Alligator mississippiensis: one gene and its partners. The protein of the gene in region 4 interacts with the protein of the main gene of each other region in a pairwise test. Links are inferred from orthologs where the notes say so. Each region holds a gene or a part of one and is shown on either strand. Other genes may lie near its edges.

Region 1 (7,795 bases), on a different chromosome or scaffold from region 4:
CGCCCAGCGCCTCTGGGGGCGGCTTCAGCCCCCGCTGAGATCTGTAGCAAGAGAGGGGGAAGATCCCTCTCCAGCCCCGGACGGCAAAGAGCTCCAGACATCCAAGGGACACTGGGCCCAGGCGCTGGCGGGCGCTGAGCTCCCCTGGGGCCCGGCAAGACTCCCCCCACCCCCAGCTCACCTCCTTGCTTCTCCTCATCTGACCCCTGACCTGGCTATTTGCATTGCATGCAGCAGGGCAGGGGGCATCCCCTACCCGCAGGGGGTGGCTCCTGCCTCGGCAGCCCTGATGCCTCCAGCTGTGCAGTGTGATACCTCCAGCTGTCCATGCAGCCCCTGCAGCTGCCAGCCCAGGGGATTGGGGTGATGCCTAGGCCGTCCCACTATGCTCCCCTGTGCCCGTCTCACCCCCGGTGCTCACCTGGGCCAGCTTGAGGCGGCGGCCGGGTGCGGCCTGGATGACCAGGGCGATCATGGCCAGGTAGGTGTAGGGCGGCTTGGCGTGGCGGCTGTACTTCTTCTTCCTCTTGCCCCCCCTCCTGCCGCCAGCCTGGCCCGGGCTCTGCCTGGCCCCATCCCCTGCCAGCTCCTGGGCTTCCTCCGCCGGGCACAGGCTGGTGCCCTCCTCCGGGCTGCTCTGGTCCAGGCTGGCCATGGGCAGGGAGCCGGTGCCCAGGGCCTCTGAAGGTGAAGGTCAGCCCCGACCCATCCAGTGGGGATCTTCCAGGTGTGGGGAAGCCTGTCCCCACCGACTGGCCCCCTCCATCCATCCACTCAGGGCTTTATCATGCTGATCAGAGCCTGGCCCGGCTGGAGACAGGCTGCTGGCACCAGGAGGAGGGGGCTAGCAAGCAAACAATTCGCAGGTTTCTGCTAATCTGGCTGCTGGGAGGGGGTCCTGACCTGGCTGGGGGGCGAGGGGGGCACTGCCCTGTCCGTGGCACTCCCACCGGCACACAGCCTGCTACCCATCTGCCCCTTCCCAGCTCCCCCAGGCCCCCGGCCGGGGCTGTGCGGGGAGCATGCCCAGCCTGGGTCCAGCCGGGACCCTCCCAGCCAGCACCCCCACCCCGACTGCTCAGCCAGGAGCCCCCCAGGGCAGGTCCCAGCTCCCACCCCCCACAATGGGGTACAGGACTGGCTCCAGGCCACCCTCCATCCCGTGATGCATGCATCGGTCGTGGCTCTGCGCTGGGGCACGAGAGGGGGGCTCCCAGGACGTGCTCCCGGCTGCTCCAGAGCCCTTGCAGCCACCCTGAGACCCATGATACGGACAGCTACATGCATGCACATGCATGGCACGTGTGGGGAGGGGAGGGGAGGGGAGGGACAGCCCATCCCCTATCACGGGCCCCCATGGCTGACACAGGTCTGGGTGCTTAGGCTTTATTGATGGGCCCTGCCCGTGCACAGCGCCGTGGTCCCCGGCTCTGGCCCCTGGCTCAGGTCCAGCGAGCCCGGGGCACCCAGAGGCTGCAGCATGAGGGTCCCGGTGTCCTTGCCTCCGACTTCCCTGGGGATGGGGGTTCCCCTCCGGCCTCCGCGGGACGTGCCCCTCCAAGCTCCGTCTGCTCCGGGCCGACGTCTGGGCACTGCTGCACCCCTGGCGCTGTTCCCGGGGCACCCTGCCCCGTCCCCGCGTGCCCGAGCTAGCGTGGGCCCCGGCGCCTCTCTGCGCCCCTCTGCACCGTTTCGCCCTTCTTCCGCGAGCTCCGGCTTCTCTCTTCACCTGGTGCAGTGCCCCCGTGTTCCCGTGGTGGCTCCGAGTGGCCCCGGGGCCGGTCCTGGCTGTGCTCTGCAGCCCCAGTGCCCCCCTCAGGTGCCCGCTGAGCTGGCACCTCCTCACCCCATCGTGCCGCCCGCCGCGAGCGCCGCTCGAAGACGGCCACGATGCGCTGGACGTGGTGCTCGACCTGCGGCTGTGGTGCCACATCCGGGGCTGAGGGGCCAGCTGCGGCCAGGGGCTGGGCGGCAACACCAGGGCTTGGTCTCCCCTGACGGCCACGCGGGTGGTCACAGAAGAGGCAGGAGCATGTAGCCACGGCCGGGGGCAACTCCTCGTCCCTGCGGGGGCTGGTGCCAGGCTGCGGCAGAGGAGGGTCCTGAGGATCAGAGAGCCGTGAGGCTGGCAGGGATCTGCGGGACCACATCCAGCCTTGAGGCAGGATCAGGCCCATCCAAACCCCATTTCCAACCTCAGAGCCACATGACAGTTGCTCCTGACACAGCCCTGGGCATCACCCCCACCCCCAGGATACAGGGGGGCTGCGGCCACCATCGCCTTGCTACTGCCAGGGGGGTTGTGGGCGCTGCAGAGAGCCGAGGCCAGGCCGTGCCCCCGCTGCAGAGGAAGGGGAAACCCCCCAGTGCGCACCAGTCTGAGCAGGGGGAAATCCCGTTCTGCCCCAGTGCAGTGGGGCTGAGCCTGAGCGCGGGGGCAAGACCCTCCAGCCGGGACCCTGCGGGGTTGGTGTCAGCAGGAGCATTGGCCCAGCCCCATCCCCAGCCTGGGCTGCAGCCAGTGCCCAGCTTCTGCCCCTCTGCCCCCCGGGGCCGCAGCTGCTACCCGAGACCCTGGCTGCAGCACCCGAGACCCCGAGGGCACCATCTCCCAGCCCTGCCCACAAACCAGCACGCACTGGGCTGGGCCCTGCACAGGTGTCCGAGCCCAAGGAGCTGCACCTGGCCCCACTGCCGGTGCCCCCTGGCACCCCCAGTCCCTGGGGCTGGCGAGAAGGGGTGCCCGGGGTGGGACATGGGGCCTCTGCATCCTGGGGCTGGAAAGGGTCCCTGAGCTCCCGTCCCCCTCACCTGGTGTCGCGCCGGGTGCTGCGTGCTGGACTTCCTTCTCCGCAGCCCCCTGCCCCCCGGGGCTGCAGCAGGCTGGGGGAGCTGGCCGCGGTGCCCGGCCTCGACCGGGTCAACTGGGCCAGAGGCATCGGGCCAGGCCCAGCTCGGGGCCCCGGGAGACTCCGGCTCCTCGTCCGCCATCTGCTCCAGCCAGCGCCGCACCTCCGAGAGCCTCTTCTGCAGCGGGCGCCGCGCGGGCGCCCTGCGGCTGGCACCGCTGTCCTCGTCCTGCTCCAGCACCCGCGGGGACCAGGCGTCCTTGGAGGGTCCCCCCGGCCCCGGCAGAGCCCCGCGGTGCTGGTTCAGGCGCTGGCAAGCCGGGCAGCTCTGCAGGTGGGCGAGCATGCAGCGGGGCAGGAGCCGGGGGCATGCCCCCACGCCCAGCTCACTGCTCCCTGCCCCTGGGGCCGGTGGTGCCGCCTGGGTGCCCGGGGCCTCCTGGGGCTCGCGCCAGCCCACGGGCTCCAGCCGACGCTCCCTCTGGCAGCAGTCGCAGGACGGGGCGTTGCTGCTGTGGCTGGTGCTGGGTGTTGGCTGGCCTGGCTCGGCCCCCCACCTGCCTGGCTGGGGCCACGGCCTCGTGCTGGAAGGGTCCCGGCCCCGTTGCCGGGCTCGTGCTCCTGCCCCAGAGGTCCCGATCCTGCCAGGTGCCTCGTCCAGGTTCTCGTAGGTGCCCGAGGCGCCTCCTGGGCTGGGCCCCGGCCCCTGCTCCCCGGCCTGGAGCTTGGCGTAGAAGAAGGAGTCGAGCTTCTCGGCCACGTTGCGCTCGAAGACGGAGACGCGCTCGATGGCGGTGTGGGCGGCACGGCCGGGCGGGGGCTCCGGGCCCCGGCTCCACGGCACGGCCCCGCTGGGGGGCACAGGCGCGTGCCCCCGTGTCCTGCTGCCCGGGCCGGGGGGGGTGCCAGGCTTCCCTGCCCCGCTGCAGGACAGCTCGCAGTCGCGCAGGGACCGGGACAGGTCTGGAGGGGCCGGAACGGGGATGCTTGGGAACGATCCCGCTCTGGCCCCGCTCCCCTGGCCCGTTGCACCCCCCCCTCACCAGGATCCCTGTGAAACCCGGCACAGCCGCTGCGGATGTACAGCTCCGAGCGCGGCATGGCCCCGGGCTCCTGGGGGAGCTGCAGGGATCACGGCCCTAGCAGCTCAGGCCCTTACCGGAGATGACGGAGGCCGCTGAGCGGTGGGAGCGGGGCCCCCCGCCTTCCCCCCAGCCCTCGTCCCTCCGAGGGGCGTCGGGGACGGAGTCGGGCTCCGTCTCCCAGTCCTCGTCCTCGCAGCCAGCCGGGAGCCAGGACCGGTCGATCCTCCCGTGGTGCCCCGCTCTCGGGCCGGCGCCGGGGGGGCCAGCCCAGGCCATGGCAGAGCGGGGCAGAGCGGGGCGCGGGGCTGCGGCTGCCAGGGTGGAGCTGCCCCATTGTGAGGTCAGCAGAATGCGGCGAGGCAGCTCGGGGAGGGGGCGCGCCCGGGGGCCGAGCGGGGCCGGCGGGCCGTGGACCCCAGCGGCCCCTGGCAGCGGGGGCTGGGGGCAGACCGAGCATCAGAACGGGGCGGGATGCGGGGGGCAAGCGGGTCTCAGCGCCGGGGACCCCAGGAGGGTCTCCCGCCTGGTGCTTGGCGCGCTCCACACTGCTGGCTGCGGGACGCTTGCCAGGCGCCGTGCCCCAAAAGGCTCTCAGGGGTCAGTGTGCCCCTGACCCCGACCCTGACGGGCCCAGTCCTCCCCAGGGCACTGCCCAGCGCTCCAGCAGAGGATGGCAGACCTTCAGGGGCACAAACCTGAACCCCCCTCCCCTTCCCTCCCCTATAATCTCCTGGGCCCCCACTGCTTTGGGGGCTGCCTGGCCCCGCCCCCAGCTGGGGGAGCCCCGCCCCCCTGGAGGGGCGCCGCTTCCGCCACACTCAACATGGCGCCGGCACTCGCTTCCGGCGGGCGTTCCGCCTCGGCCGGAAGTGTGAGCGGTTGCCATGGCGAGGGGCGGCGGAGGGGACCCGCCCCGGCGAGGGGAGCGGCCCGGTAGGTCCGTGCGCGGCGGCGGCGGCGGCGGGGCACGGGGTCCCATGGGGGTGCTGCGGGGTCGGGGCCGCGTGTGTGTTTGAGCTCTCCGGGCTCTTGTGAATGGTGTTTGCACACCTGACAGCGCTGGCTTTGCGTGGCGCCCTGCGGCACCCCTGCAAGGGTGTGCAGGACCCGGTCGAGACTCCCTGCGGGGCTGCGGGCCTGGACGCGCCGGCCCCCGCTGAGCACCGCGCTGCTGCGGCCCGCGGGCCGGTCGGGAGGCCGCACCCCCTCCCCCCCAGACGGGGGTCCGCCATGAGCCGGGCGAGCTGCCACCCCAGAGCCCGGGAGCGTCCGGCTTTGGCCGGGGTCAAGCGGCACGATCGCCACCCCCTCGCTCGCCCGTTTGCTCGCTGCTTTAGCCCTTATCGTCACGGCACGTGCTTGCGGCATGCGGCCGGGCGGATTACGGGTGGACGGCCCTCGCCGTGCCCGTGGCGAGCGAGGAGGCAGCGCGGCTCCGAGCAGCCGGATTATCTCTCTTAAGGCCGGCGGGGGCTCGGAGGAGGGTTTTGCAGCTGAGAGCCGCGAGGACTTTTGCTTCCCGGACTTTGAACTTGGCAGGCGGGGGTTGCGCGGTGCCTCCGCGTGCCGTTAGCGGGGTGTCTCCTGCAGCTGGGGGGCTCGGGGTAGGGGTCGCGCTCTTTGGCTGCCCCTCTGGCACCTCAGAGGGCACTGCCCCGGCCGGTGTCGGCCCCCCGTCTGAATGAGCTTGGTGCCTGTTTCCTGCTGAGTTGGACAGACTACTGCTGTGGGGCTCCTTGCAATGGCTGGGTTCAGAGAGGGCAGCAGCACGAGGGTATTTGATTTCAGGAAAACACACCCTGGGACATTAGGAGATGCGATGCAGGGCCTAATCGTGCACGCTGGGAGCAGAGCAGAGGAGCGTGCAGCACGCCGGAGCTGCTGCCGGCTGGGCGCGACGGCGGCGCTGCACGAGCAGGGAGCTCTGGTGCCACCAGCCCTGGACTCTTTCATTCAGCACGGGCGCCGCGCCGCCAGGAAGGTGCTGATAAATGGGGGGGCTCGGGGCAGAGCAACAGAAATCTGTCTGGGGCTGGAAGGACTGACCAAGCAGGGCAAATAAGAGGTCGGACTCAGCAGCTGCGTGGCAGGGGCATTCGGGGTGCTGCGGGGGGGAGCGGATGCAGGAGGGTAGACGGGGAGAAACCAGCAGTGTGGTGACCCTCAAGGGAAACTCCCCAGAAATCTGATCCTCGCATCCCCTGGAGGCGCTGGTCCTGGCCCCGCTCCTGTGGGGGGTCCTGCTCCCCTCCCAGCAGGAAGCTTTGTTGCTCTGGCGCTTGGGAGCAGCTGAAATCTGCTCCGTTCTACGCAGATGTTGTCACGCGCCAGACGTGCCATTGTGTCCCAGGCCGGGGCAGTGGAGGAAGGCCCCCCGGGACTTGGCTGGCGTGCAGTGTGTTGTCTCCAAGCGGCCTCTCTGCTCTGGCCTCGGCTTTGGCCGAGCGCCTTCTGTTCCCAGGTGGGTTGGGCCTCCAGGCTGCTGTTCCCCAGGGAGCTTCTCCCCCTTTTCAGTCTTCAGTTCTGCCTCGCTGGGCTGGGAGGTGGCCGTGAGGGACTCAGAAGCCCAAGGCTTCTTGCGTGATGATGACACGCATTTCCTGTCTGTGTTTCAGCCCCCCGTGCAATGGCGCTTTCAGGAGGAAAGGCAGATGAGCTGTCAGCGGAGTGCCTTTGCGTGGGTCACGAGAGGCTTGCCGGGCATGCTCCTGACACGGCAGGCAGGGAGTTCAGAGCACCCACCCTGCAGGCCCTTCTGCCCTTCATTTCAGTAGTTGGCCTGTGTGCATCGAACCTCGGCCGGGCGCGTCGCTATTGCCCAGCTGGGATGTGGTGCTCAGTCTGTTCAGGGCTGATCACCCGGAGGCGAAGGGCTGGTGTCTGGGCTGCAGCATCTCTCTGGAATTGTCATGCTGCTCAGAGGTCGGACGCGGGGTTTGCCTGGGATGGTTTGGACAGGGCTGATCTGGCCTAGACGTGGCCCCTACAGGACCCTGCCAGCCCCACAGCTCTGTGGTTGCTATGAATTCATCACGTTTTGTGCCAGGATCCTTTCCTGCAGCACACCGTACAGCTCCCTAGAGCCCTTTCAGGTGACTGACAGGATGCATTCCCACTCTTCCCCCTTGACAGACCGTTCCACAGACTACAGAGTTCAGTGCTGAGCAGTGTTTCCTGATCTCCGATCCCCGGTAAAAGATCTCGAGGCCCAGTCACTTCTGTTGCTCTTGTTTTTCTCCTGGTGTGGTGACGTTTTTGTCCTGGTATTGCGGTTCCCAGAACCGAGATGGCCCTCCCAGGGCCGAGAACCGCAGCGCTGCTCCTCGGACCGTCCAGCTCTTGCTTAGCGCAAAGCTGGGTCTAAACACTTTGTGAATGCTTGGACAAGGTGAAGCAGCAGAAAGCCCGGCTCTGGGGGCATTCCCTGTGTTGAGCTTGCATCTCAAATGGGGCAGGTCCCTGGTGTCCCTAAGTTTTCCACACTGCTGAAAGCCAGTCCCAAGCATTGGCCTTGTACCCCGGCCTCTGCACAGGTGCCAGGGACTCTGTGATGGCCCTGCTTGCAGGGGACACCTCACGTCTCCAGGTTTGGCGTGTGGGAATGTGGGCATGGCAGGCTCTGGGACGTCTCTCTGCAAGCACCAGGGATAAGCCCTGCTGAGAGGTGGAGGGTCAGGCAGGAGAAGGGTGGTGGGCCCTCCAGCGACTATCACACAAGCTCGCAGTTGGTGCAGTACAAGGACCCAAGGACTACTGTGGCTTTTGTCCAAACGGCTTGCTCTCACTCCTTGGCTCTTCCCAGCCCCCAGCTGAGCCAGTGTGGAAGTGGGGAAGGTAGATAGCTCAGCTTGATTATTTGCA
Region 2 (7,330 bases), on a different chromosome or scaffold from region 4:
GTCTTTCTTACCTAATGATTAAAGGCAAGTAAATATCAGAAAAAGTTTAGTATGTTTAACCTAGGCATGCTATATGTACAGTAGGTAACAAACTGAAGGGCTTGCTTTTCGTTTTTAAAAATGGGCTTCTGTTTATCCATGGGTAAGATTTTGGGCTGTGAGGTTCTTAAAAAACAAAAAAGAAAAAAAAAAGTAAGAAAATGTAGAAGTTAAGATGGTCATTTGCCTGAAAAGATGGATACAAATAAACAAACTTCATACACACACAAACAAAAAACTTAAGGCCCAAGTAGAAGTGAATTTCGATTTGAAAGAAGAATCAAAACCTACTCAGAGGTTTTGTACTATGTGAAGCACAGGTAGACTAACATTCTTCAGTTGTTGAAAGCAGGAATGTTCATTGGCTTGTAACTTATCACCAATATGGGGCTGAGTTTTCAATCCTGCCCCAACTCTGCCATGCAGGAAAGAGACCATTGGACATCCTTGGACTTCCAAACCGCTCAGCTTCATTTTCCTGTGTTTTCCTTGGAATGTTGTCAATGGCACGGTCTTTTTTGGTAGATGCTGGTACTTGGACACCATCAGGTTTCCATTCTGCATGGAGAATTTTATAGTTCTGACCCTCATTATTGTCCCAGAAGATGTGCTCTCCACTTTGGTAAGAAATGCAAAATTCAGTCTTCTCTTGAATGGGAATGGCTGTAGGCAGGTCAATGGCAAATGAGAAGGTATCACTATCGGAGTCTCCGTACACATTGTTCATGTAGACACAGTCAACATTGGTGTAACTTTTCCATGTATCAAAGGTAATCCGAACCTGAACCATTTTCTCAAAGCTGACATTTTTCACTTTCACTGTCCCCGATACTGCCCTTTCTTGCAGTGTACAATTTTCGAGGCAGACAAAATTCTTTTGCAACCGATTCCGGAAGTCTAAATAGTCAGCTGAAGGCTGAGAGAAACCCAGAATCAAGTTTTTCTCTTCATGTAGTTTTAAACTGGCTGTTATGTCCTCAAGATCTAACAAGTTAAATTGAAGATCCCATACAGGATGCTCCTGGAATTCAGAGAAGACGTGTATTGCGGTCAAAGAAAGCCCTTTTGAGTCCGCAAACACAACTCGTTTTTTGGCTCGGCTTGGTGAACGGTTCCAGTCGTTACTCTGAGACTCAGATTCTCGTTTCAAATTGAGACACGACCTTAGAGGCTTAAATCTGTTAACAAAGTTGTTTCTTTGACAGTCATCAAGGGGACTGAGAAAACTCTTCAGAGGTGGAGAATGGGCTAAGCATATTCTCATGGCCACATCAACAGGCATCATAGAGGTGGGCAAATGTCTTGGGTCCAAGATCTGTATCATTCTGAAATTGAGTGGGGAGACAGCATGTTAGGTTGTTTGCTACATCAGGTATACATTGGAAGAGAGCTTCCTAAGGAGCTCCGCATGCTTGACTTCATACAGTGTCCTAATTATTCAATGCAATACAAAAAACAAACTGTGGTTCAGTTGGAGCTAAGGAATTAGCATAAATCAATCAACCATTCTTGAGAATTCTGGATTGTTTGGATTTGGCCAGATTCTTTCATTTTTCCCAACAAACCTCTCTGCAAGAGAGGATTTTAAATTACACAATTATTCAAAATATACTTTCACCCCCCTTCCCCTAGCAGATATTCATATCAAAATATACTTTCACCCCCCTTCCCCCTAGCAGATATTCACGCATGAAAGAGGATTTTCATACACTAGTACAGATCTTGCTATTCATAATGAAAGGGTGCATCTGATTTAGAAAGCTCCAGTCAAAAAGGTACTAAGCAAGTTTCCATAGATTTTGGCAAATTGGTTCATCTGGAAATAACACTATATGACTCAGGTTAGATGCTATGTTCACATCATAAATAAAAATATTTTCAAGCCCGTTTGAATTATTCTAATGCACAAGAGGTCAAGCTCATTTGATTAACAACACTTTTTCACCTAGCTCTAAGTACTAGGGGCATACTGTACCTTCTTTTGGCTAATTTAAGTTATGCAAAAAGAATGTGATTCTCCCTATCCCCCCTCCCCCCCCACCTCAGTGCAATGAGATAATATAGCAGCTCTTAAAAATGCTTTCCTTCTGCAATCATCTTTAAATTCATGTGTAAGATCTACCACTGACCTACTGTAAGACTATAGGGGTTTTATGCTACAGTCTAATTATAAACCATCTCATCCCCTAGTGACTATTCAGGAAATACATCCTGGACGTATAGGTTTGTGAGCTGGGCTTCCAGTGCAATCCTTTTGACAGCTGTCGTGTATTCTGCATTAAAATCTAAAATTCTGTTGCGTCATAAGAAGTGAGAATATTTGCTTTGTCATGTTCAGAAACAGGTTTCTCCTTCCAGCACTTTCACTGGTACGGCAGAGCAGTGCGAGAAATAGGTGGGGGAGGATTTTTTTTTTTTTTTTTTTTTTTTTTTTTAACTAGGCTCCAAGTCTCATGGCTCTGGGCTGTTAGGGCAAGCAGTGGGGGAAGACAAGCAAGGCAGCACTCTTAGCTGAACGCAGCATATTCTCAGTCTCCGGGGTGGCATACACCCCACCGCCCTCTTGGAAGTTCCCAGCCCAGTTTTCTTCCCACAAACCAGCAATTCAAATCCCGACAATTCTGCTGCTTTTGCAGCCGCCTCTCCCTCGTTATGCTAAGAATGATCGAGGAGCAAGGAGAAGGCAGGGCGGGCCCCCAAGTCAGGGCCGCCTGGGACGGGGCGCTTTCGGGCCCTGGGCGAGAGCGGGGAGACGAGAGAAGCCGGGTGTCGGGCCGGCCCCGCCGCGCTGGCGGTCACAGACGCTGCCTGCCCCGGGAGCGGGTCCCCTGGACTTACCTGGCGCAGGTGATTAGCCAGCGCGGTGCGGCGAGATGCTTCTGCTCCGCGGTCGCTCGGGTGCAGGCTCTCGCTTGCGGCTCGCCCTGCCCGGCCCTGCCCGGCCCGGCCCCGCTCTGCTGCAGCGCCGCCCCGGCCGCTTATCTAGAGCCGCGCTGCCCCTTCACGCGGAGCCGCCCGCAGCCAACCCCGCCCCGCTGGCTCCGTCCCGCTGCCCCGCCAGCTGCCGCGGCCGCCCCTGCGGGACTGGGGGGCGCTCCCGGCCAGCCCCGGGGGCCCGCATGGCGGGCTTTCTGCCGACGCACATCAGCAGATTTCAGGGGGCGCATTGCCTTGAGGCGCCTCCCGGGGTGTGGGGATCATCACCGCACTTCCTTTACAAGCAAACTGCATTTCCTAAACGTGGAGTCGGGCCTCCAGGGGTATTTAGTGGTGGGAGCAGCTGTCATGGATATGGGCTGAAGCAGCATAAGCCCGCGGGGGAGGGCGCGGTTCTGAGGGGTCCCCACTGCCCGGTGCCAGAGGCGAGGGTCCCTTGTAGGCTACTGAGGAAAGCCCTGATCCGAAACATGGGAAGGGATAAAGTGCTGCTCCCTGTCAGCGCCCCACTGCTGTCGGTGGGCTTCCCCCTCCACGAGGGGCCTGCCCGCAGGAGCTTGGTTGCGGGGTGAACATCTATCCCCGCTTATTTTGTAGGACTGGACTGGGAAGCCCTGGGCTGCTGGAAGGAGGAGGTGTCAGGAAAGCAAGGGCTGTTTATTCTCTCCCCCCCAACACCTAAGAACATACGAAAAATAGCCCAACAAGCAAGTTCACTTGGTTTCTAAATGTAATATTTTTAACCAGCTGCAAAGTGAATAACAGCCCCTCTCCAGACAGCAAGCCAGGCAAATAGCTGCCATTCGTTTCCTAATAGAAAATGTAAATGATGAGGTAGCTCCCATGTTTGTATTTTTATATATATTTAACCTTAAAGTCTGCAAATACCAGCAAGTACTGTAGGATCGGGTGGAGGAATTATTTGCAATATATTTAAACACATTGACAAGAGACAGCATGTTGTGATATTTTGGTTTACAAAGACCTCCTGTCTTGCACAGTTTTAGCAGCTCCCAGTTTGATATCTTCTCTTTGAGGCTGCATTAAGGACTGAACCATTACCCAAGTGGGACCACACTTCTAGGATTAAAATGTAGCTTTTCTTAATCCCTTCTAGTCCCCTACAAACTGCAAAACTCCACCAAAGTTGTTTCCAAAACCACTGTTCTTGAAGAAACTTTTATTTTTTTAACATCTCTTCCCCACCCCTCACCCCTTTTTTTTCTAAGTCAGGGCACTTGAATCGTTTTATGTTTGAGAAAACATTTTTCGGAGCTGATTGCCCATGGAACTGCATCAGTGAAGGTGCTGAGCACAGATCTCTGAGAATTGACACTGTCACCTGGAGGTTCCCTGCTTAAGGAGATCCTTATGGCGATTAGCCTGGAGCTAGCAGTCTCCAGGAGTGAAGGAAGGAGGCAGCAGCAGAGTTACTGGCTGGATTTTCATTTTCAAACTTGAAGCAAAGTTTGAAAGCAAGAGGGCTAAGAGGAGTCTTTTTCAAATGGCATGTCCACAAGCAGCATGGAAGCATTCAGGGTTTGCTGTATGGGTACCCAAAGTGAAGTGAATTTTGTTTAAGCCACAACAGTGATTTTTGGAGTCCCAGCCAGAAGGGTCTGACATACTTAGAACAAAAGTAGCTTCCAGTCCAAGTTGTAGAAAACAAGCTTTACTGAAGAAACACAAACTCTGGTTGGCAGGGTCAAAAATCTCTTTGTAGCTGAATATAATTCCTCAGCCTTTGTGCAAGGTTCTCCACAACTCTTAATCAGTTAGGAAAAGTACTTTGGCATGTTGTAGAGGAGTAGACATGATTTTTATTTTCACATGTGGGTCAGCGTTATGTGAGAGTGCTACTGGATCTACAAAGGTAGTCAAGTTTCATTTACTATCTTTAGGTCATTTGCTTTTTTTAAAATTGTAGAACAAAATAAAATGTGTCAGAGAAATCTCATACAAAAAACTAGAACTCTTGGTTCCAAAATGATACCTTTTATTAGACCAACTAGAGAATGGCAAGAAAATTGTCCTTTTCTGCAAGCTTTCGGGAATCAAAGTCCCTTTGTCAGGCTCTGGGAAAAGTGTAGATGGTACAAGATGGTAAAAAGTCCCCATAGGTCGGAAATAAACTTCATTTTTGCACAGAGGGAGCTGAAGATGGAAGTCTGTCCCTCAGAGAAATCTCAACATATGCAGAATGAGCAGAAGAAAATTACTTTATTATGATGTGGTCTCCTTGCCTTTACACACCACAAAAGGCCCTCTAGCTGAGATCATCAGAGTAGTTGTGCATGTGTGTGCACATGGGGTAGTACTCACCAGGAGTCTCACCATCAGCAGGGAGGAGGTTTTGCAGAGTGTTCTGCAGCGCTATTTGCAGCAAAACCAGAATTGCAGGGATAGACCACAAGCCAGGTATTCCCCCAGCCATATGGAAGCAAGTGATGACATCTGTCTGGAAGTTGGCAGTCCCCAGTGGCAATGCCTCCTAAGTAAACCAGATCCGTATAGGCAAACCTCCCGTGGGTGTTGCCATGCAGGAGGTATATTCTACCAGAAAGCTACTGTCCCTATGTGTTAATGACCCCTAGGAAGCTATCAACAGCTTTACACATATGGGAACATGCTGGAATGTTCAGACGCTGCCCCCTAGGTTTGATTCAGACTCTGATTTATGGAAAACAGCATTACTAAACTATGAATTGGTTAGACTCAGAATTGACATTGCTGCATTATCAGCAACTTGGCTTTCAGATACAGGTTCTCTCCAAGAAAATAATTACATTATATTCTAGCATGGGAAGGTATCAGGAGAAAGGAGAGCGCAGGAAATAGGCTTTGCTATTAAAAACTTACTATCTTTCTGTGAAAGCCCCATTGCTGTATCTCTTAGACTTATGACACTCAGAGTGCATACACAGAACAGCTTCATAACGTTGTTTAGTGTCTATACACCTACATTTTCTACCAACAACTTGAAGAAGACGTTGAGAAAACTCACAAAAATTAGACTGTAATAATACTTGGCAACTTCAGGGCAAGAGTTGGATGTAGTTTTAAGAAATGGCCTCATATTCTGGGTGAACACAGAATTGGTAATATGCATAAAAATGGCCAGTAAATGTTAGAACTTCATGCAAGTCAAAAATCTGTGCAATTAAACTAACCCTGACTTTGCTGAAAAAATCACAAGAAAAACATCATGGAAACATCAAGATCAGGGCACTGGCACCAATTAGGTCTAGTACTGCCCAGGCATAACAACCTGAAAGAAATCCTGAATTATGAGGTTGTGTCACAGTGCTGACTGTGACACTAACCATGCTTTAGTCTGCTGGAAAGTCAGAATCAATGTGAAAAGATTCACCATAGCAAAACTACCAGTTGTCCTCAGATAGACATCAGCCAAACTAAAGGCATAGAAAAATGTTGATTATTTCATGAAGAAATTGCGATAGCAAGTTTACCTAAGCTCAGTCGCCAAGGCTTGAGAAAGTTTAAAAACCAACATGTACAATGCTGCTGTAACCACATTTGGCAAAAAAATTCAAGAAAAATGCAGACTGGTTTGACAAGCACTCTGAAACCCTTCTACCACTGGTTAAGAACAAAAAAAGAACAGCACTAACCAACTATAAGAAATGTCTCAGCACCATAACTCTGGAAAATTTGATTTCATAGATTTCATAGACATTAGGGCTGGAAGGGACCTCGAAAAATCATCGAGTCCAGCCCCCCGCCCAAAGGGCAGGAAGTCAGCTGGGGTCATAGGATCCCAGCAAGATAAGCATCCAGTTTCATCTTGAAGGTGTTCAATGAAGGCACTTAAACCACCTCCAATGGCAGGCTGTTCCAGACCTTGAGGGGATCACCCTCACCCGGACTTCCTGGCCCTGTAGCGGGCATGGTCGTCCCATGGGGCTGATGAAAGACTGACGCAAAGTACCTATTTAATAGGTTGGCTTTTTCCTGGGCGTCAGTTGTCAGTTGCCCCATCTGGTTCAGCAGGGGTCCAATGTTGCCCCTGCTTTTCCTCCGGCTCCCCACATATCTGAAAAAGGACTTTTTATTGTCCTTGATGCTCAAAGCTAGCTGGAGTTCAGTTGCAGCCTTGGCTTTCCTGGTCTGCTCCCTACAGGACCAGACCAGTGCAGAATAATCCTCCTTGGAGGTGACTCCCATCCTCCATCCTTTGTAGGCCTTTCTTTTTAGCCTCAGGAGGTCTGCTAGGTCCCTGGAGAGCCAGGGGGGCTGCTGTGCCCTCTTGCTGCCTTTCCTCCAAGATGGAATAGACTTAGTTTGTGCATTGAGGATCGCTCCCTTGAGGAGCAACCACTCTTCTTGAACTCCC
Region 3 (7,915 bases), on a different chromosome or scaffold from region 4:
TCATTGAAAAAATGCAACCACCTGTTGTTTCCCTTCTTTGCCTTGAATTAAAGGATCTGTGGGTGGGTTTTACAGTAGTGGCATTTTAGGGATTGACTATAAAGAATGAACTCATTTCTTGCTCCTTAAAACTTGAGCAAGCAGCAAAGGAAGTCCAAAGCACAGTGAATCTAGATAAAAGGCAATGAGCAAGAAGGGAGGAGGTGGAAGGGATCCTGGTCTTTCTTGCTCGGTAGCAATATCCTCGTCCCACTGGTGTCAGTGAAAGGTTTGCTATTGACTTCAGGAGGTTGAGGGTTTTACCCTCAGTGAGGAATACATAGTAAAGATCCTTTCCATTGGACGAGAGTAGTCTATATTACTTGCAAGCATATCTCCTCAGATGGGCTGGTTTCCCAGTCCAGCCCCACTGCATGTTATAGTGCAAATTTGTGTATGAGAGGCCAGGCATACAGGGGGATAGTGGTGTAATGCCAGTCTCACAGCAAACTGGAGTCCCCACAAACAGGTTTCCCTTGCACTTGCTCTGGAGTACAACAGAACTGCATTCCCTGAAGTACACCACACAAGGTCTTGAAGATTCAAAGCTACAGCATATGGTTATTAACATTGCACCTGGGTGCAAGTAAGATTGATTGACAGGAAGATACTAAGTGGATCCAATAGCATTAAGTTAGAAAACTCATTTTGACTAATGCATTCTTGCAATGCTTACCAGAACTAGAGGAGTTTTAATGCTCCAATATCATGTTCCTGTGATTACATTACAAAGTTCCAGTGTGATGATAACATATCATAACATGATAACATAATAGCAATGACAACAATAACAATGACAACAGCAACGACCCTGTTATAATACTCAAGTGTTCTGTTTCTGAAGCAACAGGCCTAAGCATCTATCTCTGGATCTGCATCCAGTTTGATTTTCTCTGCCCATCCCAAGTCTTAGGGTTGTGACACAAGCAGATCTGGGGCCTGACTCTACAGTCTTTGAAGGTGTTGGGCCTAGAGTCTGGTCTTGGACCCACACCCTGTGTCATAGAATAGCTCTTCATCCTCCAGCCATAAGGAAGAGCTGAGGAAATAGAGGATTCCCTCCCAGTCTTAAGACAAAAATATTTAATGAGAGTGGATGGACCCTAAAAGGATCACCAGGAAGGTTACACAAGTGTAAAAAGAGTAGCTAAATATAGCTCTTATCTCATTGTCCAGGTGGATAAGCTCTCCACCACCTGTAATAGGGCTTCACCCTAAGCCCTTGTGCAGTTACCATTGCTCTGACAGCAATTGCCAGGCAGCAGTTGTGAAATATGCAGCGCTTGGGGTTAAAACAAACACATCCATTTACTGGAGGACAAAATGCAATCGTCTGAGGTCTACAGAGCTCCTTGTGAGTTTCTCCTATAGTTTTGGAAGGGGCTTCTTTGAAACCTACAGGCTTTTGAAAATCTCACTCACAGCTTTCTACAGGTTTGAACATCTTTAAAAATCTGGCTGTAAGTAACTTGCCTTAGATCACAAGGGTGACTCAGTAGCAGAGAAATTAACCTAAGTCTCCGAGCTGGCATGTAACCACAGTGTCACCTGTCCTTTATTGGTATTTGGTTACAATTTGCCTTTGGAGTGGATTTGTAAATTATTTCAGCTAAGTGAAAGTTTGCTAAATGTCAACAGCTAACTTTGTTGTAGCCCTGTGAGCTTCTGCTGCAACTCTTTAAAAGTGCCTGGGAATTAATATCCAAGGGCTTGTGGCCAAGCTGTGTGGCTGTAGGAAAGGGTTTGCCAGTTGCTTTGTAGGTCAGGAAACACACCTGTCCTGCTGGGGAGGAAGAGACTGATGCTTGGGTCTCAGCAGGAAAACTGGCTTTGAAAAGATAGGGTGTGTAGTCAGGGACTGGGAGGAAAATTGCCTACCTGGCTTAGGGAAGTGACACCCTGCACTTGACCTACTTTTGGCTCCCCAGGCAGTTAGTATAACATGCCCTGGAGAAGCAAGGATGTTCATCTGTCTGAGTTAAACTCTCCCTGGGTTCTGAAATGAAATTGGCTAGTGCTCAAACAGCATTGTGATTGTGCCTTGCTAAGTGCCCTGTACTCAGCTGGACCATGGTGACCCCCTTGGGGGGTCCAGAGGTCCACAAATGTATTATATAATTGTTTATAACTGGCTTCCAGATCTCAGACTTGCTCTCTGAGTGGTTCTGTCCACATCCCCTCTAAAGATTGCTCCAGTCCATAACCTGCTAGTGTGCTGTCTGTCATTCCTCCATACCCTGTCATTTCTGTAGTTGAAGACTCCTGCACAGTAAATATGCTTTAGTTTTTCTTGGTTCCTTTAAAATGTATGTAGCAGTTGATTTCTGGGCTGTAGCAAGAGATCATTTCCACTGAGATTACCCTTTTACTTTACAGAACCACTAAGTGTATGATATTGTAACTTACTCCTCCTCAGCCCAGGGCTTAACAATGACTGTGCGCGTTCCCACAAGTTAATTAAAAGCAAATGTCAGCAGAAAGGGTGCAGCTCTTTAGTTCTGGCTGTATGTTGTAAGCTGTAAGATAGCAGAAAGATCATGTGCAGTTATCAAGGAAGGGGGAGCTTGTGCTAGAGCTGGATGAACACAGGCAGATGAGGCAACACTTTTCCAGCTCTGATGCATACCAAGCTGTGCTAGGGGTAGGTAGCTACAGCTTCCGGTCTCTCAGTCCTGCCACATAAGCCCCAGGGATATTTGATCATGCGGCAGGGCTAAATAGCTCCAGAAAGTAGGGGTGAATTATAGAGTTGCCATGCTCCACATAAGCAAGCAGATCAGGTCTGAGTCAGGGGAACACACGTGCCAGACTCCGTTCTGATGCAAACCTCCCTTTAGGCTTTCAAAGGATGTCTCCATATAAACATTGAGCTGCCCCCTTTTCCCCTCTCAGCCATGTATGAAGTCTTAGAATTCCTGCCTATTTTGTGTACCCACTTCACAAAGACAATGCAGTGCGCTGGACTGCTAGGAATGTGAATTGTGTACTTGGATATCAAAACAGAGACCACATCTGGAGAGGATGGATACTCCCAGGTGCCAGCAGGCAAGCCAAGGGAGACAAAACACTGGCTGCTCAGAAAAAATAAGGCTGGAGACCTTCATCTAGACTTGGCTGTGCTGGCTCTAAAACAATGTACATAAAACATCAAGGCTAAAAATTCACTGAGTTTGGTTATTGATTCACCTGTTGCAAAATGGGAACTGTGAATAAATAGAGCTAAAGATTTTCTAGCTTCATTGTAGCTTCTGTAATTACCTTTGAATCCACTGCTGAAGTGCTATGTGATAACTGGATCAACAACCGCTGCAAACTGTAACGAGTTATCAATACAGCAACACAGCACTGTGGAGGGGACAAGTTCCCTCTTGTACATGGGTGAAAGCACAGCAGTGGGTTTGTAGTCACTGCGACAGATGTATTTAACTTACAAAGTCAGCCACAAGTGGAGGTATAAAGCTGTGGGGAATATACCTCCGGGCAACACTCAAAGGTGCCTTGTCTTTGCTGTGCGTTTTGCCTACGGAGAGTTCCGGCATATTGGCTACGCTCCCATTTTTTCAGCAGTGAGAACAAGCCAAATACTAGGCTTTTTTAAAAATGAATTTATAAAATTGCCAAGGCTGTTTGCCAAGACCAAGCACAAACCTGCCTACCCTGGAAGGTCCATACTCATCTCAACTCCTGCTTTAGCTCCCTTGAATTAAAAACCCATCAATAAACTCAGGCTGGAAAAAAAAATGTGTCTAGAATAAGCCTGCTCAGTCACAAGACTCTGCTCTCCCATAACTAAGGTTAGCCTCTGCTATCTACACCCACACTGACAGAAGACAGTGCAGGGTAGCTGGCTAGGAAGTTCCTTAACTGCTGGATTGTACAACCAACAACCCTCAAATGCTTGATTGTATGAATGGGCGCAAGCAGGCCGGTTATAACCCTCATTCAGTTCAGGTTAGCTTTTTGTTGGGTGAGGACAAGGATTTCCCAGTAAAAGTAAAGGCTCCCGTCCTCAGCCTCAAATGTAATGCTTTTTTTTTTTTTTTTTTTGGTGGTGGGGGGAAGCTTAGCGCAGGCAGGACTGAGGAAGAACACTTGGGTATGTGACGGTGTTACAAGCAAACGGGTGAATGGGTGGGAAGGCAACTGAGGCTCTTGAAGTGGGAGAGCGGGGAAGTGCGGGCTGAGGAGAGGAGTCGGTGGCAGAGCTGAAGTCTTTCATTAGCCCAACTGGATTTTTGCAAAAGCAATTCTTTCATTGTCTGAGGAGAGGGCAGGGCAGGGCCCGCGCGCGCTCACGTGCGCAGCAGGGGAGATGCTGCAGCTGCGAGAGGCCAGGACTGATGCCAGGCGAGGGGGCTTCTTGAATGCACGCCAGCTTTTTCTTGGAGGGGGTCTTTTATTGGACCAGCTGTGTGGCTGGGACAGAGGCAGGCAGGCTTTCTAAAGCAAGCCTAAGCAGGGAGCGGCCCCCCACGGCCTTGCCTTCCTCCTCGCTTTGCGCACGCAAATGTGGGGGAGCCACGGGTTGCTTCCACCTCGTGCCTAGGGAGCAAAGGCGTTGCATTTTGGGGAAGCGGGGGGAGGATCTTGCCTTCGCTCACTCCCTCTCCTGAGGCGGGTGCGGGGGCCCCCTCAACTGGGGGAAGGAGGGAAGCAACCCCCCTTCACCCCTCCAGCCTGGGAGGGGAAGGAGAGAGCCGCCCAGCGGAGGGGGCGTGTCCCTGCGCCTTCCGGGCGCAGCCAGGCTGGTGTCCACGTGCCGGGCTGCTGCGCGCTCACGCGGAAGCCGGTCTGCCATTGGCCGGCCGGCCGGGTTCGGGGCGCGCCCATTGGCTGCGGTGTGGTTCCATGGGTGGAACGCCCGGGCGCCCTTAAGAAGTAGGGAGCAGCGGGGCGGCTGGTCTCATCTGCCGCTGTAGCGCGCTGGGGGTTAGGGCCTGCGCCAGGCCCCCGCCGGACCCATGCATTGCACCAGGTAGGAGGGAGGTCGGAGCCCCCCGGGAGCTGGGGGGGCAGCGGGGTCCCTGGGGTGGCGGCGATATCCACCTTTGTCCCAGGCTGGGGGCCGGGAGGGAGCAGCCTGCTTTGTGAGGTGGGAGGAGATGGCTGCCCCTGCGCCCCTTGGGCTACATCCCGGTCTCGGAGGTCTCAAGGGAGTGGATGGGTGTCCTCACTCTGTGTAGCCCCGTCTGCAAAAACTTTTTCCAAGTGTATGTGCAAATGAGGGGGAAATGCAGGAAGAGACTCCCTCCTGACTCCCAGGTTAAGGCTCTGGCAGTGCTCTGCAGGGCTTTCCTCAAGGAGAGAGACTCCCACAGAAGTCCCTAGACTCCTGACCCTCCTGCCCTTGCAGCAGTTCAAAGCAGCCAGGCTTACAATTTAAAGGGGGAAAAATGGGCCGGGGTTGGGGTACAGCAGTGCTTTGCTTGGGATGGTTTCAGAAGGAGCTGTCTTGACTGGAGTGCCCATATAAGTACATGGGGTCTGAAATGTCAGCGAAACATGTCAGTGCTCTCCCTGCTAAACTCTAGCTCCGCTCCATGTGAAATGGCTGAGAGGTTAATCCCTGAAATGGGAATACTTGCTTGGCCTTAAATACATGGGCTCTGTGGGGCGTATCTGCAATGCAGACCACAAGGAACTTGCCAAAAATTGGTACTGCAGCTTGAGTGCATGCCAGTTTTTTTCTTAAACTGTAGAAAAAGGGAGAAGACAATTCACATAGCATCCGGATCCACATCTGCCTAGGGGTTTTTATTCCAGTGCTTAAAAGCTGCAGGGCAGCCCTAGGTCCCAGTGACTGCAGTCTCTATTGATAAGCACTTTGTTCTGCCAAATTAATTCATCTTTGCAATGGCGAATACCCTGCAACTGCTTTTTTTAAGAGCAAGTAACCAGTCGCCTAAATTCCACAAATTATTCTGTCTTGCTCTTGAGTCCAGAGCAAGCTGTATAACTAGGGTGAGCATGTTGTCCATCTGACTTGCCAAGCAGTTCTTTATGTGAATGAAAGGTGTTGCCTCTTCCTGTAGCTTTTTCTGGGGTGGGTGGTGGCTTTTGTTTCGGGGATTCATGCTGTTGGGAACTCCTTCTGAGAGGCTGAAACTGCACTAGCTTGATTGTTCTCCTGGATTGCAAACGCATGTGGTGGTTAACCGAGTTTCAGAGTTTTACCTCTTCCCTTCTGTCCTTGTCAACTTGTTTGATAGCAGACTTCCCAATCTCTCTCTCTCATTATTTGCTGTGTAAAAGAATGGTTTGCCACTTCTGGGTCCTGCAAGGTTCATTGCTGTTTCTGCGTTCTTTAGTGGTTTGTGGTGTTTTACCAGGCATGCCTGGGGAGAAGACTGGCAGTCACCCTTCTGTATGGGACTCTTACTGATGACACCTAGTGCTATCTCCAAGCTTCACTCCTGGCAGATAGGCTAATTCTCAAGCAACTGCAAGTTGCATCCAGAAAGCAGCTGCCTTGTGGTATTGCAGGTAGACATGATCACAGTGCCCATGTTATGGATGAGTCTTCCTTGAGGAGGGCCACATTCTGCACTGTTGGAATTGTTTATGGGTTGGAATTGTTTAAAAAAATTTGTCGTCTTAATTTGTGTTGCAGAGGACCACTAGCCACCAGTGCAGTTTGTACTGGGCTCTGTAGTTAGCCCACCTCCAGAGATCCTGAAGGTGTTGAATAGTTTTATTACTATCTGATTCCAGCTGTCTGGGAGAGGCCTAAGACGAGCTGAGAGGGTTGGAAGGAGGATTTGTGAGGAGGCTAGCAGGCCTGAAGAATGCCTGAAATGACAGCTAAATTACCAAGCGGTATCAAAATAATTTCTGAAAGTGAAACTAATTGTTCCTTCTTTCAAGTCAGGACCCAAAATAGCTAAGGCTGTTCATGCTTTTTAGCCATAACCATCTACCATGCAACCTGTAATGTATTTCCAAAACTTTCTTCAGCTAGTCCACCCACAGTGTGCTTTAAAGGTTGCTAGTCAGTTCTTGATGCCGTATTAATCTTTTGCAAGCAAGTAGGACAGAAAGCATGAGGTGAGAAACTGCTTCTGGATCTGCACTAATGAACAAATAAAGTTCTGACATTTGTGATGGGCAAAGGCATTGAAAACTGGACAGAAGACCTTCAGACTTGAAAACTGATGCCATCAAGTTGCCAGTGTTTTTAAATGCCCATCTTCACATTCCTGTAAATGGATGCTATTTTTACTTTCAAAACTGATTCACTGGAAAGAGGCCTATATAACAACTTTCACTTCAGATTTTTAAACCCCTTTGTTTTTAAATTTGATGACGAGCATTAATGAGTTCCTTGAGTCCATGACCTACAAGGGAGGCAAAAGTTTTCCATTTAAGGTGGTTCAGCAGAGCCGTATCTAATCATCTTGGAACTTTTATAGCCAGTGTCTCCAGTTCAATCCAGAGCAAGAAGTCCCATCCAGATTTATAAAATGTTAGTTGAAAATAGCAGTGCATTTTATAGGCTCAGTGGCTTGTCTTTAGTGATTAATATAAGATGTTGCCTGAACTTAGACTTTTGATTCTAACTTTATAAAATTATGTTTTGAGGGTGTTGTTCAGCTGTGGCTTTCTTCTAATACTTAATACAGAAGGTATTCATATATTAACTGGCTAATTGAGAATTATCACTAGGAACATTGCTCCAGTTCCTGAGAAGTGCTTAAATGGTAGGGAGGCTTCACTGTGATACGGCAGGACCCTGTAATGTGGATGGGGCTGCTGTAGATAACAGGGATTGTGAATATTTGAGGCAGTATTGGTTAGCAGAAGGAAATGACCTACAGAATAATAATAACTGTGTGAGTGTGCATAGAGGCTTGGCTAAAACATACACAGTGGAGCAGAG
Region 4 (7,445 bases):
CAGTCAGTCAAATAAAAAGATCTCACCCCCCCAAAAAATCCTCGCTGCTTCTATTGGAAATGCAAATTATACTGAGCAAACTACATAACTATTCTTGCTAGCAAAACTGCATCTACTGGGGCTCTTGCTAACAGAAGTACATTGGTAAGACATGGGTTTTTTTAACATTTGTGACAGGGCATAAAAAAACTACAACAGACTTCAACCAGTAAGTGTACAGCCTGAAGCTACACGGAGTTCTGAGGCAAAGACCATCTTTTTGATATGTCTAATGCAAATGGGTTTTGACAGGGCTGTAAATTCAGCTGCCATATAAAACACCCTCCCTTTAGACAGATAAAAAGAAACTTTAAAACTCTGTGTTTACAAGTTAAACCTATTAAAAAAAATGAAGATCTGTCAAAAAACATTTCAGCCGAAGAGCAATTTAACAAACCATTTTTCCCCCCACTCAAAACACATTTTACACTGATACTTAAAAAAAAAAAAAAGAGAGAGAGAGAAAGAAAGAGCACTACCCAGCAACACCATACTAAACTGTAAACTTAGTAAGCATCTTTGATTACATAAAAGAAACCTCTGAGTTAAGATGCCGTTACTCAAACTGTTACTCATCTTATGGCATACTGGTAGCACAGAAAGTGTAAAACAGAAATGTAAGAAAAAAAATCCTCACCCACACCAAGTAATTTTAAAAGCTAAAGATGATACCGTGACAAATTCTCAGGACAGATTCTCTTTCTGAAGCAAGGAAGAAACTTAAAAGAACCCCTGGTTAGCAGTATGGTAACAAAAATGGGGGGGGGGGGGAGGAGGAGAGGAAGAACTCTTACTGCTACAAGCCAGACAGGTTTTCCTTACCTTTTTTGCATAATTTAAATTAAGTAAATCAAACTTAAAAACAGCTTCAGAAAACACTGACTACCTACAAACAGCACAACACACATTTGAACAAATTTGTCTTTAAAAATGTAATAGTTTTCAAACAAATACACTGCCATTTTTAACACAAATTTGCTTACTACAGTCTAGACTGGTCCAAACCTAGGATGGCTATGATCTTGTTTAGTTGTTATATGAAACCCCTGGAAACACTACGTCTTACCAACTATTTTAAATATGGATATGCACTTTCTTTGGAAAGCAGCTACTGTATACATGGAGTTTCATGGTTTACTTTATTAAGATAAATGATAGCTAAGAAAAACGAGACAACCAAGTGCTTAAAAAGTGGTTCTACAATATTTTAATAAACTGTATCAATTAAATAGGAATACAAATAAGCAAACTAGAAAAAAAATAGATTACTACCCTGGACAAAATTTACCAGTGCCCCTATGTATGGAAGATGTATATATGCAGGCCGGAAAGTCTTTAATCCCTGAAAATGGAGCTTATGCTGGAAAGTGCATGTTAAGTGGTCACAAAGGGGCCTGTACAGAAAATCTTACTTGATAAACATTCTTAGATTTCAAGCAACTCAAAAGGTAAGTTGTCATCTGCCCAGCCAACAAATATTTACACTCCACCGAAGGACAAATACAAGCATTTGAAATGCCTCCTGCAACAATACACTAAGCACAAACATATTAGCAGAACTACCCCCAACAACCCTCTTGTGGCCAGGCGCACGCTCTCCATCTATCAGCACCCCAGATTTTCACTGTTTACTCATTATGAAGTCAGACAACAACCTGGCACAGCCCCCCCCCCGTCAGCCCCAACAGGACGGGGCACAGATTACAGCCCAGGGGCTCATAGTACAAAGTCCAGATCTTTTACCTGCTGGATGTACAGCTACCTAGTCCGTGGCATCAGACTAAAACCACTTGCAAAGAAACTTATGTCCAATTCGTTTTGCATTTACATATAATGGACACATGAGATTTATAAGTATTTAATTAAAAATATGTTATGAAGAATTTACTATTGCATACATCTTAAATTCTGTGGTTGTTGACTGTAGCCGTGTTGGTCTAAGGACATAGGCAGACGTGGTCCTTTGGGTAAGTGTAATATATCTTTTTTTAGACCAACTAAATAGTTGAAAAATTGTTCTTTGCAAGCTTTTGGGCACAAACACCCTTCTTCAGGCAGAGGGAAACTACTGGCATTACGTGTTCTCCAAGGCAGAACCAACACCCCTGGCAGCCTTGCCGCAACTCCTATTCACTGCCCATCCCTGTGCAACCGTGCACCCAACCCCTCTGCCCCAGTGGCCTATTCTTGCAGGTGGGTGGCAGGGTGTAAGGCAAGACCCCCCCACCCCAACAGGGGGAAGCTTTACAACAAGGATGTTTGGGGCCTGGATTTAACCCTTTAGTGGACCCTACACAAACACATTCGTGGGCCCCTTCTTAATACTGTGTATATTACTTTTTAATTTTCCCACTCCAGAATTATAATAGGTATAGAAGAAGCACAAGCAGGCCCCTTCCTCACTTAGGGCCCTAGGCATATACTTGGACGTTCACCCAGCCCTGAGAATACTCAGGGCACAAGGAGGTCCCCCTCGGCAAAGGAGAAGACAGCAACAAATTTCCCACCATCTCCAGGAGGATTTATTCCCTCATGCACCGAGGTCCCCCGCGCCCCCCCCCCCATCTCCCTGAGGAACTGCCCCCCGCCCGCACACACACTGCCCCCCAGGTGTGGCGGGGAGGAAAGAGGGGATTCGCAGCCCCGCCCCAGCGGGGGGAGGGAAAAGGGGGCGCTGGGGAGGGGGGGGCTCACCTTCCAGCAGGCGGGTGATGAGGCTGTCCACGTTCAGCTCCCCGTCCGCCATTTTGTGTCCAGCCGACTCGGCGCCGGGCGGGGTGGAGAGGCCTCGGCGAACGCGGCTTCCCCCCGCCCCGCGCAACCAACGGCCGCCCGACTGCTCCCGCGCTGCCCCCGACTGTGCCCGGCTCGCGCCCTCGCCGCGGAATGGGGGCGGAAGAGAGAGAGAGAGAGAGAGAGAGAGAGAGAGAGAGAGAGAGAGAGAGAGAGAGACAGCCGCCCCTCCTCCCCGCCTCAGAGGCCGCCTCTGCGCATGCGCCGCAAAACCCCCTCCCGCGTCTCTTGCCGCGGCTGCTTTGCTCCAGGCACTCCCAGAAATGCGCAGCCGCAGGGGAGGGGGCTCTTCCCTCCCTGTCTCGCGGCTGCCTCGCTTGAGGGCCAACTGCGCAGGTGCAGAGGGCTCCTTTTTTTTTTTCCAACCCTCCTCCCGCTAAGCTTGAGGGCCGACTGCGCAAGCGCAGAGGGCTTTTCCCTGACCACCTGTTTTCCCGCTTCGGAGCCGACTGCGCAGGCGCGGAGGGTTTTTTTTTCTGCTCCCCCCCCCTCTTCCCCGCTTTGCTTGAGGGCCGACTGCGCAGGCGTGGCGGGCTGCTGCGCTTGCGGTACTAGGATGAGTGCGCATGCGTGTGCGGCTTTGCTTTTTTTTCTCGGTAGCAGGCGGGCCTGAGCGGGGCGGGGCAGCCCTCTGCTCTGCCCGCGGGCCGAGTGCACAAATAGTAGTGTCAGTGCATAACACAGTGTGAGCCCTGTTTGCTGCCTCCTGTTCGCACTGCAGCACCCCGATGTGATGCCACGCAGGGCGAGGTTATGCTGCCTGGCAGCTCAGTGGTACTCCCCTGACCTGATCCTTTGAGCTGGCACCACGTCTGTGCATCCTGCGGGCTACTTGTGTTCCCTTCAGGTGGGCCAGAAAAGAGGAATGGGAAGTCGCTGTTGAAGGGCTGCTATTAGATGCCTTAAAAATGGTGGGAACAGGTCAATTCGGTGACTGTTCGTGGCACAGCCCTGACAGCTCCACATGCTGAAGGAGCTGTTTGGATAAGTTGCATGTCCTGGATGGGGCCAGTCCTGTGGGCATGCATTTTATCCCAGTACACCGCACTGCTGGTTTGGCTGAAGTGCAGAAATTGGCTGTGTGTTCACGCACACATTAGACACCAGGAGTGGGCAAAATGTGGGCTGAACGCAGCCCACCAGGCCATTCTATCGGGCCCACGGGGCCCCTAAAAAAATTAGAAAATTAATATTTATCTGCCCCTGGTTGCCTGTCATGTGGCCCTCAATGGCTTACCAAAACTCAGTAAGCGGCCCTCCGCCCAAAATAATTGCCTGCCCCTGTCATACATGCAGGGGTGCGCAACCTTTCAGTCAGCCAGATGAGTGGCATAGGGCCAGCCCACAGGTACCCTGATCCAGCCCTGTGCTGCCCCAGCCTGATATACCTGATCTAGTGCAGAGAACCACACTACAGGTTTCCCCTGCTTTATACAGGTTCTCCATGTGCGAATTCACTCCTATGCGATGACCTTTTTATACCAAAAATGTGTTATATGCGAGGTAAATTCACCCTTACATGATTGGTGTGGTGGAAGCTCACATTCAGCTGCTTTATGCGGTGCAAGGGATTTTTGGTGCTTTCCTTAGTACCTCAGCCCCTAAAAATGTCACTGCGTGAGAATTTCTCCTTATAATTAAACAGAAGTTGCCTCAAAGCGTAAGGGTTGAAAATGTTAGACCCCCAACAGGCTGCTTATTGACAGGTGCACCCTTCCTCCTGCACCTGTCAAAGCTCATAGTTTGTTGTAAAAAAGTTGTTAATGCTGGAATGCCAAGCTAATCACTAAACCAATGATTAACACAGTTGTCAAAATCTATAGCCTAATCAGAAAGGTCTGGGCTGCAGTGTGAATAGGACCTTTAAACACTATATTCTTTTTCCATTCCTGAAATATTTTTCAAGATTCATTCTTGAAAACCATTTAAGTATATGCACATGCCAACAAGTGCTTACTTGCATGGGCAGAAAAATGCTTTTAAAAGTAGCAGTTAAACTCTTCTCATGAAAAGAGACATAACATGCTCATCTACATATAGCCAGCTGAACAGTAGTTATTTTTTCTGGTGCTGAGTAAACTGTAAATTATCTAGAAATATCAATCAGGACTTGTAGTAGAGATGATATCTTTTATTAGACCAACCAGATTTTTGTAAAAAAAAAAAATTATTTAATTGCAAGCTTTTGGGCACAAACATCCTTCATCAGGCATTGGAGAAAAAAAATTGTAAAAGTTCTCCTGGGTAGAAATATCAAGTCACTATTTAGATGACTAAATATAGAATCAGACTAGATGTCTCTAGGAACTTACATTTGAATTTTTCCATCAATACACACCAACCAGAAAAGTCATGTTATCTTAAGAAATCTTCAGGAATCAGTTTTCACATCATGATCAGGGAAAAGCAAGTCTGAGCAACATTTTAAGAAACATCCTTAAGGCAAGGTGATGAATAGGTGGGAGACTATGTTGGGGTGCCCAAACACTAACATGAGGAGAGGCTCTTTTGATATGTAGGAGGAGGATGTATTTTTGCTGAGTATACTAAAACAAGAGGATTCAGAATTATAAAAAGACTCAAAGTTTGACTTTTTATTCCCATTAGCAAACGGCAGATAATAAAATGTCATTTCAGCTCATCTGCTGAAAGCATATATGCATATACAAACTCTTTTTTAGACCTTTATGTTAACATTGGGGGCTAAATGACACTTGGAAATCTTTGTTCATTTTTTGCTGAGAGTTAGAAAGCCTGATTATTTAGCTTTCTTTTTTTTTTTTTTTTTTTTTTTTTTTTTTTTTTTAACTGGTTCATGGCTACCAAATGCAGTAGATGTGCTACCAGAGGTTGCACTTTTTGTCCCCTTTGCAATTCACGCTACTAAACTTCCTTGAATGTTAGTTTAGGCCAGGGATGTCAAAGACACAGCTCATGGGCTGGATCCAGGCCATGAAGCTGGATCATTTGGCCTGCAGTGCTTCCTGCTACAATGCAGTATGCACTGGAATTGGCCTTGCAAGCCACATGTGGTACACAGCCTGTCTGGCATGGGCTGCACATAGAATGGGGCTGGTCTGGGATGCGCACTACATGCAGCATCTGTGTTGGACCAGCCCTCCACACTAGATCCAGGGCCAGTCGGTATGGGGACGCAAACCAACCCTGCATGCTGAATCTGGCCCATAGGACTGGGTTGGTGTGGGCACCACATGTGGCATATGCCCCAGACCAGCACTGTGTCCAGTGTGTAGCAGGCATGCCAGACCAGCCCCACGTACTGCATGCTGCACACAGGACCAGGAGGTGTGTGCATGCAGCATGCAGGTCTGGAGCTAGTGTTTGCATTACAAGCAGTACACATGGTGTATGCTGCATGCAGAGGCTGCACTAGACCAGCCATGAGAGCTGGATCCAGCACATGGGACCAGTCTGTGGGGCTAATCCAGCATGCAGGCTGGCCCCACGCCCATACTCTGGCCCATGAGACTGGGTGCATTTGACTCCCATGGTTTAAGCTATCATGACATTAAGCTGTGACATGATGATGTTGCTTGGTAATAGGCCATTGTATGACAACAGGATAGAGATGTCACATTGTGACACAGTGGTACAAAGAGCCCAACAGTACAAAAATCCGAAAGCCAACAAACCTAAAAGGTACATTGAACAAAACCCAAATTGTGATAGCTTTATATAGTAGGCCCTTTAAAATGTTTCTTCAATGTTTCAGTGGAATGCCAGAAAAATCAAAGGACAGGACAAGCAGAGATGCTGCAACAGAGAACCCACAACAAAGACTGAAGATAGGTGCATGGGGAAATCCCTTGCTTTTTTATTTTCTTGATTTCAGTTACAAACTCTCTTTTCATGCATCTTCCTTTTTATATTAACGCCATATCATGTGCTAAACCAAATAGCTAATATATATGCGTTCTTGAAAAGCTCAGTTAAGTACATTGGGTTTGATTTTCTACTCTTGTATTATAATTGTTTTATAATGGGGTGATTGCATTAAATCAGTGGAATTAACTCAGTACATACAGTAATTAGGCTCATCATCTCCCACAAAACAGAAAGAAATGCTGCATTTGGACTTAAAGCAACATTCTCATTGACCAGGAAGACATGAAAAGCCACTTGCAGCAAACAGGGATGAATCCCAGGGTATTTTACTGGTGTTCTGAGTGGAGTTAAGCATGTACTGGTGCTTCTGGCAAACTTCCACTGATCATTCTCCTCTTTCTTAATTTCCTTTCTGTTATTTTAAAATTTCCTCCTTTGTCTCCAATCATCCTTTTCTCTTTATTGATCTCTCCTCAACTGTATGTATGACCTGCTACTGTAAATGCCCTTTGTTTCAATGTCCTTCCCTCCCCCTATTCTACCAGCAAGTGCTCTGGGCTTTTATAAACCCACAAAGGACTCAACATTTCAAATGAGATAAACAAATAAAAGTGTGTTGGGAGGTGGGGCTCCTTAATTATGTTACCTCCCTACATTCTCTATTGTAGATACTCTAAGACTGATCCTATACCCATTTCCAGACCATTGCTTCAACTTTTGAAATAAGTTTAGTCATTGCCATAAGTATTATGCTGGCTTGTCCAGAC

Evidence for each region.
Region 1: the proteins of PPP1CB (region 4) and PPP1R16A interact in binary tests that used the Homo sapiens proteins (3 or more experiments, as listed by UniProt). The two-hybrid records come from large-scale screens. The link is inferred for Alligator mississippiensis from reciprocal best matches to the Homo sapiens genes PPP1CB and PPP1R16A.
Region 2: the proteins of PPP1CB (region 4) and PPP1R3C interact in binary tests that used the Homo sapiens proteins (3 or more experiments, as listed by UniProt). The two-hybrid records come from large-scale screens. The link is inferred for Alligator mississippiensis from reciprocal best matches to the Homo sapiens genes PPP1CB and PPP1R3C.
Region 3: the proteins of PPP1CB (region 4) and PPP1R3B interact in a two-hybrid assay, tested with the Homo sapiens proteins (2 studies listed by BioGRID and IntAct). The link is inferred for Alligator mississippiensis from reciprocal best matches to the Homo sapiens genes PPP1CB and PPP1R3B.

The regions. Positions count from the first base shown.
Region 1 is NC_081826.1:1,681,266-1,689,060, forward strand, and holds the start of PPP1R16A (protein phosphatase 1 regulatory subunit 16A), read left to right. Parts: upstream 1-4,786; 5' UTR 4,787-4,867; exon of another isoform or gene 4,868-4,871; intron 4,872-6,088; exon of another isoform or gene 6,089-7,795. Other genes in the region: forkhead box protein H1-like, read right to left, coding at 422-655. UniProt on the Homo sapiens protein: Inhibits protein phosphatase 1 activity toward phosphorylase, myosin light chain and myosin substrates.
Region 2 is NC_081829.1:68,911,958-68,919,287, forward strand, and holds the start of PPP1R3C (protein phosphatase 1 regulatory subunit 3C), read right to left. Parts: upstream 3,011-7,330; 5' UTR 2,878-3,010; exon of another isoform or gene 2,488-2,877; intron 1,365-2,487; 5' UTR 1,364-1,364; coding exon 416-1,363; 3' UTR 1-415.
Region 3 is NC_081825.1:141,790,511-141,798,425, forward strand, and holds the start of PPP1R3B (protein phosphatase 1 regulatory subunit 3B), read left to right. Parts: upstream 1-4,902; 5' UTR 4,903-5,000; coding exon 5,001-5,014; intron 5,015-7,915. UniProt on the Homo sapiens protein: Acts as a glycogen-targeting subunit for phosphatase PP1. Facilitates interaction of the PP1 with enzymes of the glycogen metabolism and regulates its activity.
Region 4 is NC_081824.1:176,137,303-176,144,747, reverse strand, and holds the start of PPP1CB (serine/threonine-protein phosphatase PP1-beta catalytic subunit), read right to left. Parts: upstream 3,013-7,445; 5' UTR 2,786-3,012; coding exon 2,734-2,785; intron 1-2,733. UniProt on the Homo sapiens protein: Protein phosphatase that associates with over 200 regulatory proteins to form highly specific holoenzymes which dephosphorylate hundreds of biological targets.